Linked DNA regions of Lytechinus pictus. The protein of the gene in region 2 purifies or fractionates together with the protein of the main gene of each other region. This does not show direct contact. Links are inferred from orthologs where the notes say so. Each region holds a gene or a part of one and is shown on either strand. Other genes may lie near its edges.

Region 1 (7,099 bases), on a different chromosome or scaffold from region 2:
GGGGCCAAAACGTGTAAATAAACTTGTTTAAAGGGTTATTTTGCACACAGAGAAAAACTCGTTTAGGGGTTGTTTGGAAGTAAAGTTCTTTCGTCTACCACCATGACTACAGCCAACATAAACACTGCAATTGCATGGATGCAGCGGTGGTCATACTTTTGACTGCGATTGTGATGTTTTTGAATAGGCAGTGAATTTGTAGCGTGATTTGGAACTACCCCTAATCGACCATCTAATTTTATAAGAATCGTATCTGCATAAGTATTTATAAGTTTTACCTAGTTTTTGTCTTGCGATGACTGCGTTTCTATGCGCATAAATATCAGCGAACAACAAATACGACAATTTCACATTTGCAACCTTCTTTTGAAACCAACCACCTGCTATACACTGACATTACGGCCGATTCTCATCGCGGTGGCGAAATATTTTAACTCTTCCAAATCAGTTCTATGATGTCACCATGCTAAATGATTGTCTCATTACTTCCACTGCAAGCTCCGGCACATGATTCAACGATTGACGATGGATATTTTCAAATTTTTGAAAATTTCAGTTTTTTTCGTAGAAAACTACATTTCTTTTTGTTTGTTTAAACCTCCTTTGGTATTTGAGCCATGGTTGAAGCTTTTTTATTGTTTAAAGCATTGATTTGCGAAGCTGTGACTTATTGGGAAAAAGTTGCAAGTTTATTTGAATTATTTCTTTTAGTACAAAAATCCTGGAGTTGTACATTGTACAAATTTCAATGGAAGTGATTTAAATCAATGATTAAAAAAAATTAGTGAAAGTGGAGTAGGGGGTAGACAGCTGGCAGCCATCTGTTTCGAGGAGTTTTTTAACATTTATTTATTTTTTTAATTTCTCCTCGTACACAGACGGCTCGCTATCGTGCAGCCACCATTAGGGGACTTACAATGCAAAATCCCCCCGTCGGGGCTCTTCAATTTTTGTCTTTAATGAATCAAACTTTTGAAAATTAACGCGACCGAAATGCAAATTAAAATTCCCTCTTGGCACTAATTGCCAAAAAACGGGGGAAAAATCAAGTTAAAAGGAATGAAAACAGTGATTTACCTCGGCTGTCGCGCAACTGCACTTCCGTTTTATCAAAACTTAATACATAAACATATGGCCATTGAGTCCCCTGTAGAGATCGCGCTAGAACTTCGGTCTCTGTATTTGGTGAGTGAAGCCAACGGAGTTCAGCTGAACAACCAACATAATAGAGAGACCGAAGCTTTTGGTCTAAGACTAAGTAGGGGGCTAAGTGCATGTTAACCGCTTATTGAAGGATTTATTCATGCTTTGATGATATAAAGTTGATAAAATCTTTCTATTTTGAGTAAAAAAACATATAAAAACTGCCGCAAATAAAAATATTGTCAATCATTTGTACATCATATGTTTCAAAGGAAGTGATTTAAATCAATGATTAAAAAAAAAAATCATCTGTGGAGAAGGGCCGTTTTAGGCACCTATGGGTACATTACCGCCGCCGTCCACAGGATAACCACTTGCACGGCACTTGCAATGCCTTTCGGGCTATATATTTTAAATTAGCAATATATATGGATTTAAGATCAGATAAGCTTTGGATATGAAACTTACAAAACGATATGAAGCCAATTTCAATTCCTCTCTGTCTTTCTGGTACTTTATATCGATGATCTTTCTTGATGTCGAAGCAGGCATGGCCCCGATTCGCTGGTTCTCTCTATACGCACAGAGAGCGCGCGCAATATTATTTAATAAACTTGCTTGTTTACGTCGTTTACGTCAGATCAGCTGTACTGCTGGCTGCGTTCTAGGCGCTCCGCATTTTTTTCGCTGTTCAGCGTTATTTTATGATGTAGCACCATCAGCGATTATACGTGACATGCAACCTGTTGATTTTTGGTACAATTTCCTATTATGCGCCGGCGACTTGAATCTAGACTGTTCGATAGGAAAAATTCGCATATCGATCGTTGTTTGCATAATTTCCACCGCAGTATTAAGGATCGGATGGAGTAACTGGCTGAGATTTGGAGGTAAGCGTTTAAAATCCATTTCTATAGATAAGTTCGTGCTGATTTTTAAAATTAGATTACATTATAAATAATATAAGATTAAGATGACTAAATTTAGTAATAGTATATTGTGAAGATTTAGGCGTGTTTCATATTCTCACATTCGTGTGATGAACGAAAACGTCAAAATTCATTATGAAATGACATGCGTTGTGCGAGGTTAGTATACTAACCTCGCATGCTTGTGTGAGTGCGTTTTAGGGGCCTAAGACTAAGAGTAAGACTAAGTCTGAGACATGTTAATTGTTATTGTCATGATTGTTAAACCATAACATAATTTATAGGCTACCTTGCAAGATCAACCTGATTTTACTGACATGATTTCAATTTTTTTAGTAGATATGAAGCATTTATTTATGTTTTGATGATATAGAATTGATAAAATCTTTCTATTTTGAGGAAAAAAATAAAACTACCACAAATAAAAAAATGTCATTGTCAATCATTTGTAATTGTAATTGTAGTGTACCGTAGGCCTACATGTTTCCAGTGGAACTGGAAGTGATTTATATCAATGATTTAGAAAAAATCATAGAGATTAAAATCACGATTTCAATAATGATTTAAATCAACGTGATTTGAATCAGCCCATCCTGATGATGTTGAAATCTTGAGACATATTTTAGTCGGAATCGGAACGGCAACACCGTGCGCATTTTTGACCAACATAATTTGCAATGATGTGGGACTCACAGGAAAAAGCGGTGGCGGCTGAGCAGTGGGAGGTGGCAATGATTCTCCTCCTCTTCCTAATCCAAGGGCATCAGCAGCAAACGACGACCCTCGACCACGCCCGCGACCTCGACCTCTTCCAGCCATAATGAAGTAGCACTGGTTTGTTGTTTTAAAAGGAACTTAAACTTAAAACAATAAATAAGTTCTTCCTCTAACCCACTTGAAAGTATGGTGTCTTTAAAAATAAAATTGGTATTAACTTGAATTGAATTTAAATAAATGTGACTAGAGCTATAAGGGGATGGAAATATATATTTTGGCAATTTTATGAAATAATAAATAAAATCAGAATGATACGTTGAGATATTGCTTAATATTACACGTATGTGTGAAAATGAGCTATATGGACATGTTTGGTATAAATCTAGAACTACTCCCACCCCATCCGTGATCCTGATGATGATGATGATGGTGATGATGATGATGATGATGGCGATGATGACGATGATGATAATAATAATAATGATAATAATTATAATAAATGAATAGATAAATAAATAAAGATGATAACAATTTAATGATGATGAGGATAATAAGCAAACAAACATGTAAATGAATGGAATCGATGAATAGATAAAAATCCAATTGCTATACGTAGAGACAAGCTTAATTTTACTTTTATTTTATAGACAGGTATAATTGCCCCTTATTAATAAAAAAAAATCCCATTGCTATACGTAGACAAGCTTATAATTTGACTTTTATTTTATAGACTAGCTGCCCCGGCCTTTATTCCAAACCAATTAACTCCTTCTGTATATCCTTATAAAATTATTTCGGTACTTTTCTCTGCTGTGTGTATCGATTGTGAGGGTCTGTGAATAGTTCCAGTGTGTATACCGTCAAGCCAGTGGAGTGGCACCCTCCGGGTAAAAAAAAATGGAGCCTATATACACCCTACACCCGACAACACCCTAGCTCTCTTATTTCTCTCGTATACTGGTAACCTATAGCGTTCTGTGTCAGGCTTTTATTATTTCTGTGCTTTTGTTTTGTTTTTACTAGGGTTTTTACCTCCTGCGCTTAGTGTAGTACCTCATCCATACCAGACCCCTCTATATATATACATCATGATCCCGCCCTCTATCCTACTCCCTTCCTTTTTATAATAGCTTTCACCACTTTCACCACCACAAATATATTGCAGTACATGACAAAAAACTTATTTAAGGGAACAATCCCTTCAAACTGTTCATGTGACAACTCACTGTCGGTTGACGCGCAGCAGCTTTTTCAGTAAAAGAGTGATCCAATAATCTTGGAATAGTTTGCCTGCAACACTATGTCCTCCAGTATTAACTCATTTAAACACGGATTAGATTCTTTTTGGTCATGCATTACATTTGAAATTGTCTTACATCCACGCCCGCACTGTACTTAATTGTTAGACTTTTAATTATGCATCAAGCGTTTACGACCGGGAGATCTACAGGGCTATATACCTACCCTCCCGTACAGATGATGATGATGATTAAAGGGGTGTTTTTTAGTTTTGGACGCGGGCCGCGTGTACATGCACTCATTAAAAAAACACCGCGATAAAAAAAAAAAAAAAAAACGGTGGTTTATATGGTCACTGGTCAATCACAGGGTCAAACGTACAGGGTATGTTTTTTTTTATAAACTATATAGCCATACGTGTTTAGGGTACGTATTTTTGCCCCCAAGCTTTTTTGCGACAACAATACATGTATATAGGGGCCAAAATAACTTTGCCCGCGAAAAACTTGTTATGGTGATTATTTGCACACAGAAAAAAACTCATTTAGGAGGTGTTTGGAAATAATTTAGTTACCCATGTGTACAGCAGTACATTTCAGGGGCCGCGGAAAGGTTTTCAAAGTGGGGGGGGGGGGGCTGATGACCATGCAAAAAGTCCCATTATATCGAGGTTTTTTACCTGACTACTAAGAAAGCACGAATGCCTGTGAGCAAGCAACCAGGGGACCGACAGCTTAAGGTCCTCTCCGAGGGACATGGTAATGAGGATAAATTCCTTACCTTCTCAGTTCAAAACAATTTGGATTTGTATCAGGACGATCAACAATGTTACAATTACTCAATGTGTTAAATGATTGGACGAATATGTTGGAGGTTGGTGGTGCAGTTGATGTCATCTACCTAGATTTCATGAAAGCCTTTGATAAGGTCCCACGTACACCAGAGACTTTTAGCCAAAATTGAGGGATTTGGCATATCTATAGCTCATATGTAAGTGGGTCAGAGGTCTTTTCTTGTTGGTCGACAGCACCGAGTTTGTGTGAATGGTGTGTTCTCTGACTGGGCTGATGTAACCAGCGGAATACAGCAAGGGAGTGTCCTCGGACCCCTGCTTTTTGTAATGTACATTAATGATTTACCGGATCAGATTTCGTCAAGTACTGTTAGTTTATTTGCAGATGACACCAAGTTATACAAGCATGCATGTTAATAATGACAGAGATGCTGAGTTATTACAAGCGGACTTAGATCGTCTTGTGTCATGGTCAGACAAGTGGCTATTAAAGTTCCACCCGGATAAATGTTGTGTACTTACTATTGGTACAAAGAATGATGAATTCAATGAATATACTATGACACATGATAATGCTTCACATAATCTATCACAAGTTGAAACTAGTAAAGATTTAGGAGTGATTGTCGACACAAAGCTTAGTTTTGACCAGCACTTTCAGTCAAAGATAAATAAAGCCAATAGGCTTATGAATCTAATTAGGAGAACATTTGTTTATTATCTTCACAAGGAGAACCTCCTACTCCTATACAAAGCATTGATTAGACCTCACTTGGAGTATGCTCATGCAGTATGGAGTCCATACTTAAAGAAACATATTCAAGCAATAGAAAATGTACAAAGAAGGGCCACTAAGTTGGTACCTGAAGTAAAGAACCTTCCATATGAACAAAGATTGATTCAACTAAAACTTCCTACATTAGCATATCGCCGTGCGCGAGGAGATATGATCGAAACATACAAGTTATTTCACAGGTATGACCAAGAGGTAGTGCCAGATTTGGGCCAGGTGCATGGGCCTACCAGAGGTCATGATAAGAAATTGTACATTCCGAGGTCAGTAACTGAGAAACGTAAGAATTCTTTTTACATAAGAATGAGGAAACCTTGGAATAGCCTAAGTAATGAATTACTAATGCACCCAGTGTCCACAGCTTCGAGAATGGACTGGATAAGTATTGGAAATGTGAACCTGTGAAGTACAAGTTTGACGCTGACCCACCAGGACATGCCGGCCAACCTAAAGAGGAGACAGAATTTGGAACTGAATATAGAGTCTTAGACTGCGTTCAGAAGCATCCATAAGTATCCATATAAGTAAGTAAGTAAGTAAAGCCAAGGGCACTAGCACAATCATATGGTCGTCATTTTTACGTTTTTGTACACGGTTTTTGAAAAAAGAGGGGGGGGGGGGGCTGAAGCCCCCCAGCCCCCCGCTTCCGCGGCCCCTGTATTTTGACTGCCCCCGGGAGTTTTGCCAATGATTTACCGTATTCGGCGTTGGTAATCGACTATGAGATTTAAAAAAAAGATTTAAAAAATCATGTGATAGCAAAGACACCATACCCAGTGGCATTGCGTGAAGACTGAAGCTCTGTAAAATTTACTTTTTGCGTGAGTTATTGACGAGTCCTGATCACTGTACATCTATTTTTGTGTGGTAAGATAGCCGGATATGAACTAATTTGAGTAGTTCTTTTTAAATAATAAACCATATGGGAGTTTACTATAGGAAATTATTCACTCTTTCCATTCTATCCAGTTACTGCGAAGTTAACATCGCATCCCTCAAACAGCCGGTGATTTCGATCGTGTGCTATCCGAACACATGTATCAAGGAATCGTGATATCATCCATTTCTTTGTGTGCGTAATATATTGCACGTGTTGCCGATAGTTGTGGTGTCCCCTGTGCACTCATTCGAATGAGGTCTCGTGTTTTGAAGGATGTCGCCTGCGCCTGTTTGACATCTAATGTTAGACAGACTAGTAGTGTTGTAACCCGCACCCGTTGCGGTACGGGTTAACCTGCCGGTATGCACCCCATCGCGGATTGCGGGCCGGGCCGAGTTCATTCTCAAACCCGCAGACCGTCATACGAAAAAAAGGGAGAAGTAACGACGCATAATAAAAACATTAACAATGAAAATTGAATTAGGATCATGTGCTTCTTACGTAGCGGATTCTTTTAGAGACGTAGATATTTCCTTTTTTAAAAATGCCGGCGTATTTTTGTCCTGTGAACAGTGAACAGGACTGAGACAGTTCGACATAATATT
Region 2 (7,561 bases):
AGATATTGAATTCATTTATATCCAAGTTCAACTCACAGTCACACCCACACAAACACATCCAAGATTCTAAGCATGAAAAAAATACCTTAAAAAAATCATACAATATTAAACAATAAGTAATAATTCTAAATAATAAAGTAAACAGTTATTCCTCAAAATACAAAAACGTAGCATTTGAAAAGAGGCCCTGAAATGAAAAAGTAGCCCCCGAAAGAAAGAAATGGAGCCCCGAAATTTTACAAAAAATTGAAAATGGAGCCCCCGAAAAAAAAAAATTATATTTTTTCCGTTTCCTCACACATATTACGACCGATTTCAAAACCTCGCATGCGTACGCGTACTCACGGCCAATTTCAAAACATCGCATGCGATCGGTCGCGCCGATCGCATGCGATGTTTTGAAATCGGCCGTGAGTAATATGTGTGAGGAAATTGATACTGGCCCAAAATCACCAATTTTGAGGATAACCGGAGGATGGACACGGAGTGAAATACGGGTGTAGAGTAAGATATTAAGTTATTTATCTTTCTTGTTATATTGTTTTTCTTTAATTTTTACAATAAACATGATTTCCATCCCACCTTTGTGACACCGAATATCCGATCGAGTTCACCGTCACGAAGTTCGGGTATTTGGAGCGTAGTGTAGCGGAAGTGGAGTGGAGCCTGCACGAACTTCGCCCGAGGTAAACCTAATAATGATATTCCAATATAGGCCCACTCCCTAATTATCGATCTCAAATGGATTTTTCTTAACACTTGACAATGACCCAAAAGACAGTATACAATTTAATTACATTGGTTAGATATATACAGATAGATGACAAGCTCTCTCGAAGGTTCATCGTATCCATGAAAAAGTTAGTATATAAGCGTTGGTAGGGGATATTGGGGTTTATTTGAGAATATTTTTGACAAAAATGGCTGTAAAATCCAAATAGATTTGAGAAACAATATGTCAGCTTAAAGCATATATCTAAGGGCTTCAAACGTACCCCATGAAACTTTAAAACTCTATGATGGTTACTGAAAAACAATCCACCTTGAACAAGACCATCGCAAGCTTTCCAACTTACCCCATATACGGGGTAAGTTGGAACGAGGTATGGGGTAAGTTGGAACACTGCATGGTCAATTAAAAATTATACTTAAACTACTTACAACTGTGATATTTTAGTTTTAGCCTATTTGCTTTATTTTTTCAAGTTCAAAATATTAAAGGTGTATTCTGATATGTTGAACTTTATATTTTCTATATTATACAGCCACTCATGCAAGCCGACTGTGTAGTAGAATTCTGCATATTTATGAGTGTTTGATTTTACATGCAATTAAGTGTATCATCAATTTAATGTACTTCTGCATCAAATTTACATGACAAAGATAAATTGTTTATATTTTTTAATTAATTAATTATGCAAATAAACATGAAATTTGCCCTTTAAAAAAAAAAAATTTTGGTGTATGTTTTTGCCTTTAACTTAATCTATTTAGCTAGTAGAATGCTAATTTTTGGTGAGAGCATCAATTTTTACATTTGTAACAAATACCTACGAAAAAATTGCAAAAAGTATAATTTCTTATGTATTTTTTGTTTTTTATACGCCCATCCTGACGGGACGTATCACGCTCGGTGTCTGTTCGTCCATCCGTTAACTTTTCCTTGTAAACACGATAACTTCAGTTTAACTTACCCTAGGCTCATATAATTTGGTATATGTATGATACCAGCATGGATCCCAGGAAGCCTTTTTACTTTTGGGGTCAAAAGGTCAAGGTTACAGTGACATATTTTCATCTTACCCTTCTGCAGTCCTTGTAAATGCGATAACTTCAGTTTAACTTAATCTTGGCTCCTATAATTTGGTGTGTATGATACTAGCATGGATCCCAGGAAGCCTATTGATTTTAAGGTCAAATGGTCAAAGGTCAAAATCACACTGACATGTTTTCATCTTGCCCTTCTGCAGTCCTTGTAAATGCGATAACTTTAGTTTAACTTAATCTAGGCTCCTATAATTTGGTGTGTATGATACTAGCATGGATCCCAGGAGCCTATTGATTTGGAGGTCAAAGGTCAAGATCACATTGACATGTTTTCATCTTACCCTTCTGAAGTCCTTGTAAACGCGATAACTTTAGTTTAACTTAATCTAGGCTCCTATAATTTGGTGTGTATGATACTAGCATAGATCCCAGGAAGCCTATTGATTTTGAGGTCAAGTGGTCAAAGGTCAAGGTCACATTGACATGTTTTCATCTTACCCTTCTGAAATCCTTGTAAACGCGATAACTTTAGTTTAACTTAATCTAGGCTCATATAATTTGGTGTGTATGATACTAGCATGGATCCCAGGAAGCCTATCGATTTTGAGGTCAGAGGTAAAGTTGCCACCTTCCACTTTTCTTGCTTGACCATTAACTCCATTTTTCTGCATTACAGGCGGGCGTATAATGTGCTTGCCTTAGCGACACTCTTGTCTTTGTATTTCTTTGTTTTTTCGAACCTTTTTTTATATTCTTTTTCCTTTTTTTCTGATGAACTTTGTTGGGGACCCTTTTGCATATTAATAAATCCATTTGAGCGAGCAAATTTTAAAATAATCATATATTCATGATTTTCGTTCGAAAAACACAATTTGCATTGACCTTGTACATTCGAGCAATTTTGGGTCCGACATGCACGTACAAAATGTTGCATGATTTTGAAATCACTCACCCGGGCATCGCAAATTTGGTCTCAAATGATGCACAAGACTTGAAAGTAAAAAGTCAGTGAGCGGTGCAGTTAGAAAATTTCGCGCGACGGTGAAGTGACAAATTTATCGAGTGGGGGGACTCAAATTGAGGGTTAAGGGTTAATAAGGGTTAATATTGCATAAGGGGCCCATAGTAGTCCTTAAATGCACACTCAAAACAAGCATGGTTTACAATACATATTCAAAAGAGTGTGAAATATTGTATACATTATTTTCTCAAATCCAGTGTTTTATTCATTTATGTTTGGGGTAACTTGGAACATGTTATAAATAGCCCCTTCAATTTTGTTTCAACTAGCCCCAGAGGCCCATGCAGGTTGCTACATAACTTTTTAAAAGTACTTGCCCAGTCGGGCAAGTAAATTTATGAATAGTTGGAATATACTTGCCCAAAAATCTATTTCACTCGCCTGAAAAAATCTTTGAAATTTTGTGTTTTTTTTCTCCAAAAGAAAGTTTTGAGGTTTTATAAACCATTGACCTTTTTTCTCTGTTTTGACATGAACTGATCTACTTTCTTATTGCATTTCTTTTTCCAAAGTGATTTTATCTTGCCTGCCATGACCAAAATCATATAGACCCTAATTTTGGTCATTCTACTGTAAGCATTTTGCTTGCCCAATTTGGGCAAGTAGTCTTGGTCTTTACTTAAAAAACTTGCCTGACTCTAACTTTTACTTGCCCCGGGCAATTGGGCAAGTGCTTATGTAGCACCCTGGGCCTATGTAGCATTTGTAAGCTTACAGCACAAAAAAGGAACTTCACCATGGCATATTAATAACCTTATTTTGTAGCTTGGTGCAAGTGTCTATTATACCCCCAAACTGGCCAACTTGATCTATAAACTTCTCTGAGATAATAAAACATTTCTGACAGAGAAAAAAAATACTCAGTTGAAAAAACGAAAATTCCTTTCTAACTTTACCAGGCTTATTGTACAGTGTTGTCTGTAATATGGTGGATGGCTGTTGATAATGGCAATAAATTGAGGGCAGTATTGCATAAATTAACCCCAATCTCCCCTATGTTATGTTCCTCTGCTTCCAACCCTTTTACTTAATATAATGTGACTATATACCCATAGGCAGATCCGAGCCCCCCCATTGGCGGAGCAAAAAGAAAAGGGGGAAAGAAAAAAAAGGAAAAACAGAAGAGAATAAAAAATAGGAAAACAAGAAGAGGAAGACGGGTGAATTAAATAAGAAGTGGCAATGACTTAAAAAAATGAAAGTCACTATTCACAGCCAATCTGGAGTTCTTTTAAGTCCTTGGAATTTAGAGTGTAAGAATTAAGAAAGGAAGGAAGAAAGAAAGAAAATATTGCATCTTTTATTAATCGCGAAATCAGGCAAGACTCGTCGCCAGAGCAAGTGTCATGGAACCTATACTTTAGACAAGACAGCTTCAAACTGATGGGACATTTTTATCTAACTCTGTATCTAACCTCCAACATTGGATGAGTGGTCTGTGACTGGAACTTACTTTCAACTAAAGCTATCAAATCTTAAAGAGTTTTGGGGAACATTGATGTACTGAATTACCGATTTTCAGATAAATTTAGTGAAAAACTAAACAATTGTAAATTGGTTATTGGAAAGAGCATTAGTTTCTATTGAAAAGAAAACAAAGAAATGGTAGTTGGAGAAAATGCTAGAAAAAATGAGAATTAACAACTACATGTAAGGTGCCCTATGGATACTGACATTGCTAAAGATGAAAAATACATGAAACACACTTTCATTTTATTCTGTATTATTTTTGTTTTTCTCATTTCAGGTCGATGTTTACCTCTCAAAGGAGTTGGCTGAAAATTTGTATTGTTTTCAGGTGAGAAATGGTTTTATGAAAAATCAAGCTGCTGATAAATATGTCTAAACGAAACAACATCATTCTTCCTAAATTCCCATATTTCATGTTGACATTTTTATTCATATTGATTTTATTTTTGTCTCACCTGCATAGCAGATCAAGACTCATTGCTTTTAGCATCAACAATTCTTTATTTCTTCATCAATCTTGATTATTATACTTGGCTCAAATAATCCTAGGGTAATTCCATGTGTGCATGTCCTTGAGGATGATGGGGTCAAGGGTCATCTAGGGGTCAAAAGGTCAATTTGTCCAACTTGCTCTTCATTTCTTCATCAATTATGTTCACACTTGGTACACATACAATTGTTGTGTAATACCACATGTGTGTCCTTAAGGATGACTGGTCAAGGGTCATCGAGGGGTCAAAAGATCATAGTGCATATTTTATTGATTGTGAAATCAAGTGAGACTTGTGATTCATGAGCCACCTTGTATGATCAGCATTGAATACATGTATGTTCCTTCTTATTAAAAAAAAAAGAATTGTAAACCCAATTAAGGGATTTGCATTACATGTATTAATGGGAGAGCTTGTGATTTATTCAAATCCTTTCATTGTGTGCAACAAAGCAGAGCGAGACGACTATGCTAAATGACACATGCACGACGGACCCCTCCCCCCCCCCCCCCCCCATAAACCTTGAGGGTACTTCAACCCCCAGCATCAGGATCGTCAATCACTGAAGGTTAAGTTTTTGAAATGTCATCATTCATAAATAAAAAAAAGTATATGGGCCTAGTTCATGAAACTTGGATATATTGGTTATCAAGTATTACTCAACATCCTGCCAGAGTTTGATGTCACATGACCAAGGTCAAAGGTCATATAGGGTCAATGAACTTGGACCATGTTGGGGGAATCAATATCAAAATCTTAACCGAAGGTTATGCGCCTAGTTCATGATACTTGGACATAAGAGTAATCAAGTATTACTGAACACCATGCCAAAGATTCAGGTCAAATGACCAAGGTCAAAGTTCATTTAGGATCAGTGAACTTTGGCCATGTTGGGGGTATTTGTTGATATTCATCATAACTTTGAAAGTTTATGGATCTGTGCTCAAATATCTTCGATTAAAATCGATTTTAAAGCATTGTTAGTACAGTGGCAGATACAAATTTTGACCAGTGCGAGCATTTTGACATCGATACAAATTGCGTATTGATTTTCTATGTAAACGGAATTGTCACAGTTTCATGTACATGTACACAAAGTCTATGGGGAAACGGAATTTCTGTTTTCAGACATGCTGAAATGGAATATAAGATTTTCTGAAACGATAACTCACTGTCCCTTTTTTATTATCATACGAATGTTTCTTTTGTGAATAATTATTCAATAGCTGTTTTCAAAGTCAGCACTGCTGCTATATCAAATCGCGTAATGCAGGCGAGACTGCCAGAGGCACTCCACTTGTTTTCATTAGACAGATGGGGGAGAGTGCAAGATGGCATCTGAACATGCCTACTGAGGTTTAAATAAATTGAGTTAACATAACATCCCCTTATACTTTGTTCAATTTCTTTTATACATTCACCCTCTCATTTCTCTTTTGCTGTTTTCTTACAATGATTTTGTTATATATTGCATTTTCCTATTTCTATGACTGTAGCATTTTACGTTGGTCTTTTTTTATCTTTGCATTCAGTATCCAGTTCGTCCCAATCACATGTCCTATGATGACTTTGAATACACATCAGCTCGGATCAAACCTAAACAGAAAAAGGTACACATCAATTAACAAAGGTTTGAATGGCATATTACAGCATGGATCCATTTAATAGCATCTTTTCTTATTTTAACAAAGTCAAAGCCACTGTGAAAGTCTGTTCGTGGGATTCCTCCTAAAACATGTCACATCTCTCTTTTGTGAAGCACTGTGATATAAATCTAATTTTGTTTCAAAGGTTTTCCTTCTAGTGTAGTTTACTGTGCTTTGTTTTTGAGCAGATACCCATCCCCATTAACATCAAGATTTTTAGCCAGCCAAAAGCTTGTCCATGACATCGAATTTAGGCTGGCCAAAACTTTTCTCCTATATTTTCTCCTTGCCTGCAAGTTGATTATTAACATTGTTGAATTACATATCCACTTTATGCACAGTATGTCTGACAAAAATCAGTTACTATTCATGAGAACAATAGAAAATATATCTGTAGTATCTAGATCCAGTATTGGGACATTTTACTTCATTGGGCCATTCTCCTTTGTAGCATGTATAAACCCCATCTCTTGCCTTTTTGCCCTTAAAGGTCAAGTCCACCCCAGAAAAATGTTGATTTGAATAAATAGAGAAAAATCAAACTAGCATGATGCTGAAAATTTCATCAAAATCCATTGTAAAATAAGAAAGTTATGAGATTTTAAAGTTTCGCTTATTTTTCACAAAACAGAGATATGCACAACTCAGTGACATGCAAATGAGACGGCTGATGATGTCCCTCACTCACTATTTCTTTTTGTTTTCTATTGTTTGAATTGTACAATATTTCATTTTTTACAGATTCGACAATAAGGACTAACTTGAATGAACCATAGAGTATTAAACAATGCTAATTCCACATGTTCATGGAGGAATTCATCATTGTTTCGCTTGACAATGAGAAGAAAATTAGAATACTTCATATTTCATATAATAAAATACAAAAGAAATTGTGAGTGGATGACGTCATCAGTCTCCTCATTTGCTTACCGACCAGGATGAGCATATAACTGTTTTGTGAAATTAAGCGAAACTTTAAAATTGTCATAACTTTCTTATTTACATCCGATTTTGATGAAATTTTCAGTGTTATGCTTGTTTGATTTTCTTATTTTATTCAAATCAACTTTTAGTTGGGGTGGACTTGTCCTTTAATGTATTTTTTTAATGGAAAGTAGTTTGTTCTGGCATGTGCACCTAAAGTCTACCTGTTTCTGTTAGTGTAT

Evidence for each region.
Region 1: the proteins of DNA-directed RNA polymerase III subunit RPC5-like (region 2) and DNA-directed RNA polymerase III subunit RPC7-like purify together in Homo sapiens (co-immunoprecipitation; 5 studies listed by BioGRID and IntAct, counting the BioPlex papers as one, with this or other methods). This does not show direct contact. The link is inferred for Lytechinus pictus from reciprocal best matches to the Homo sapiens genes POLR3E and POLR3GL.

What each region holds. Positions count from the first base shown.
Region 1 is NC_087249.1:25,193,812-25,200,910, forward strand, and holds the start of DNA-directed RNA polymerase III subunit RPC7-like, read right to left. Parts: upstream 3,015-7,099; 5' UTR 2,892-3,014; coding exon 2,766-2,891; intron 1-2,765. UniProt on the Homo sapiens protein: DNA-dependent RNA polymerase catalyzes the transcription of DNA into RNA using the four ribonucleoside triphosphates as substrates. Specific peripheric component of RNA polymerase III which synthesizes small RNAs, such as 5S rRNA and tRNAs.
Region 2 is NC_087254.1:1,610,096-1,617,656, forward strand, and holds the start of DNA-directed RNA polymerase III subunit RPC5-like, read left to right. Parts: upstream 1-4,539; 5' UTR 4,540-4,586; intron 4,587-6,281; 5' UTR 6,282-6,302; coding exon 6,303-6,359; intron 6,360-7,561. UniProt on the Homo sapiens protein: DNA-dependent RNA polymerase catalyzes the transcription of DNA into RNA using the four ribonucleoside triphosphates as substrates.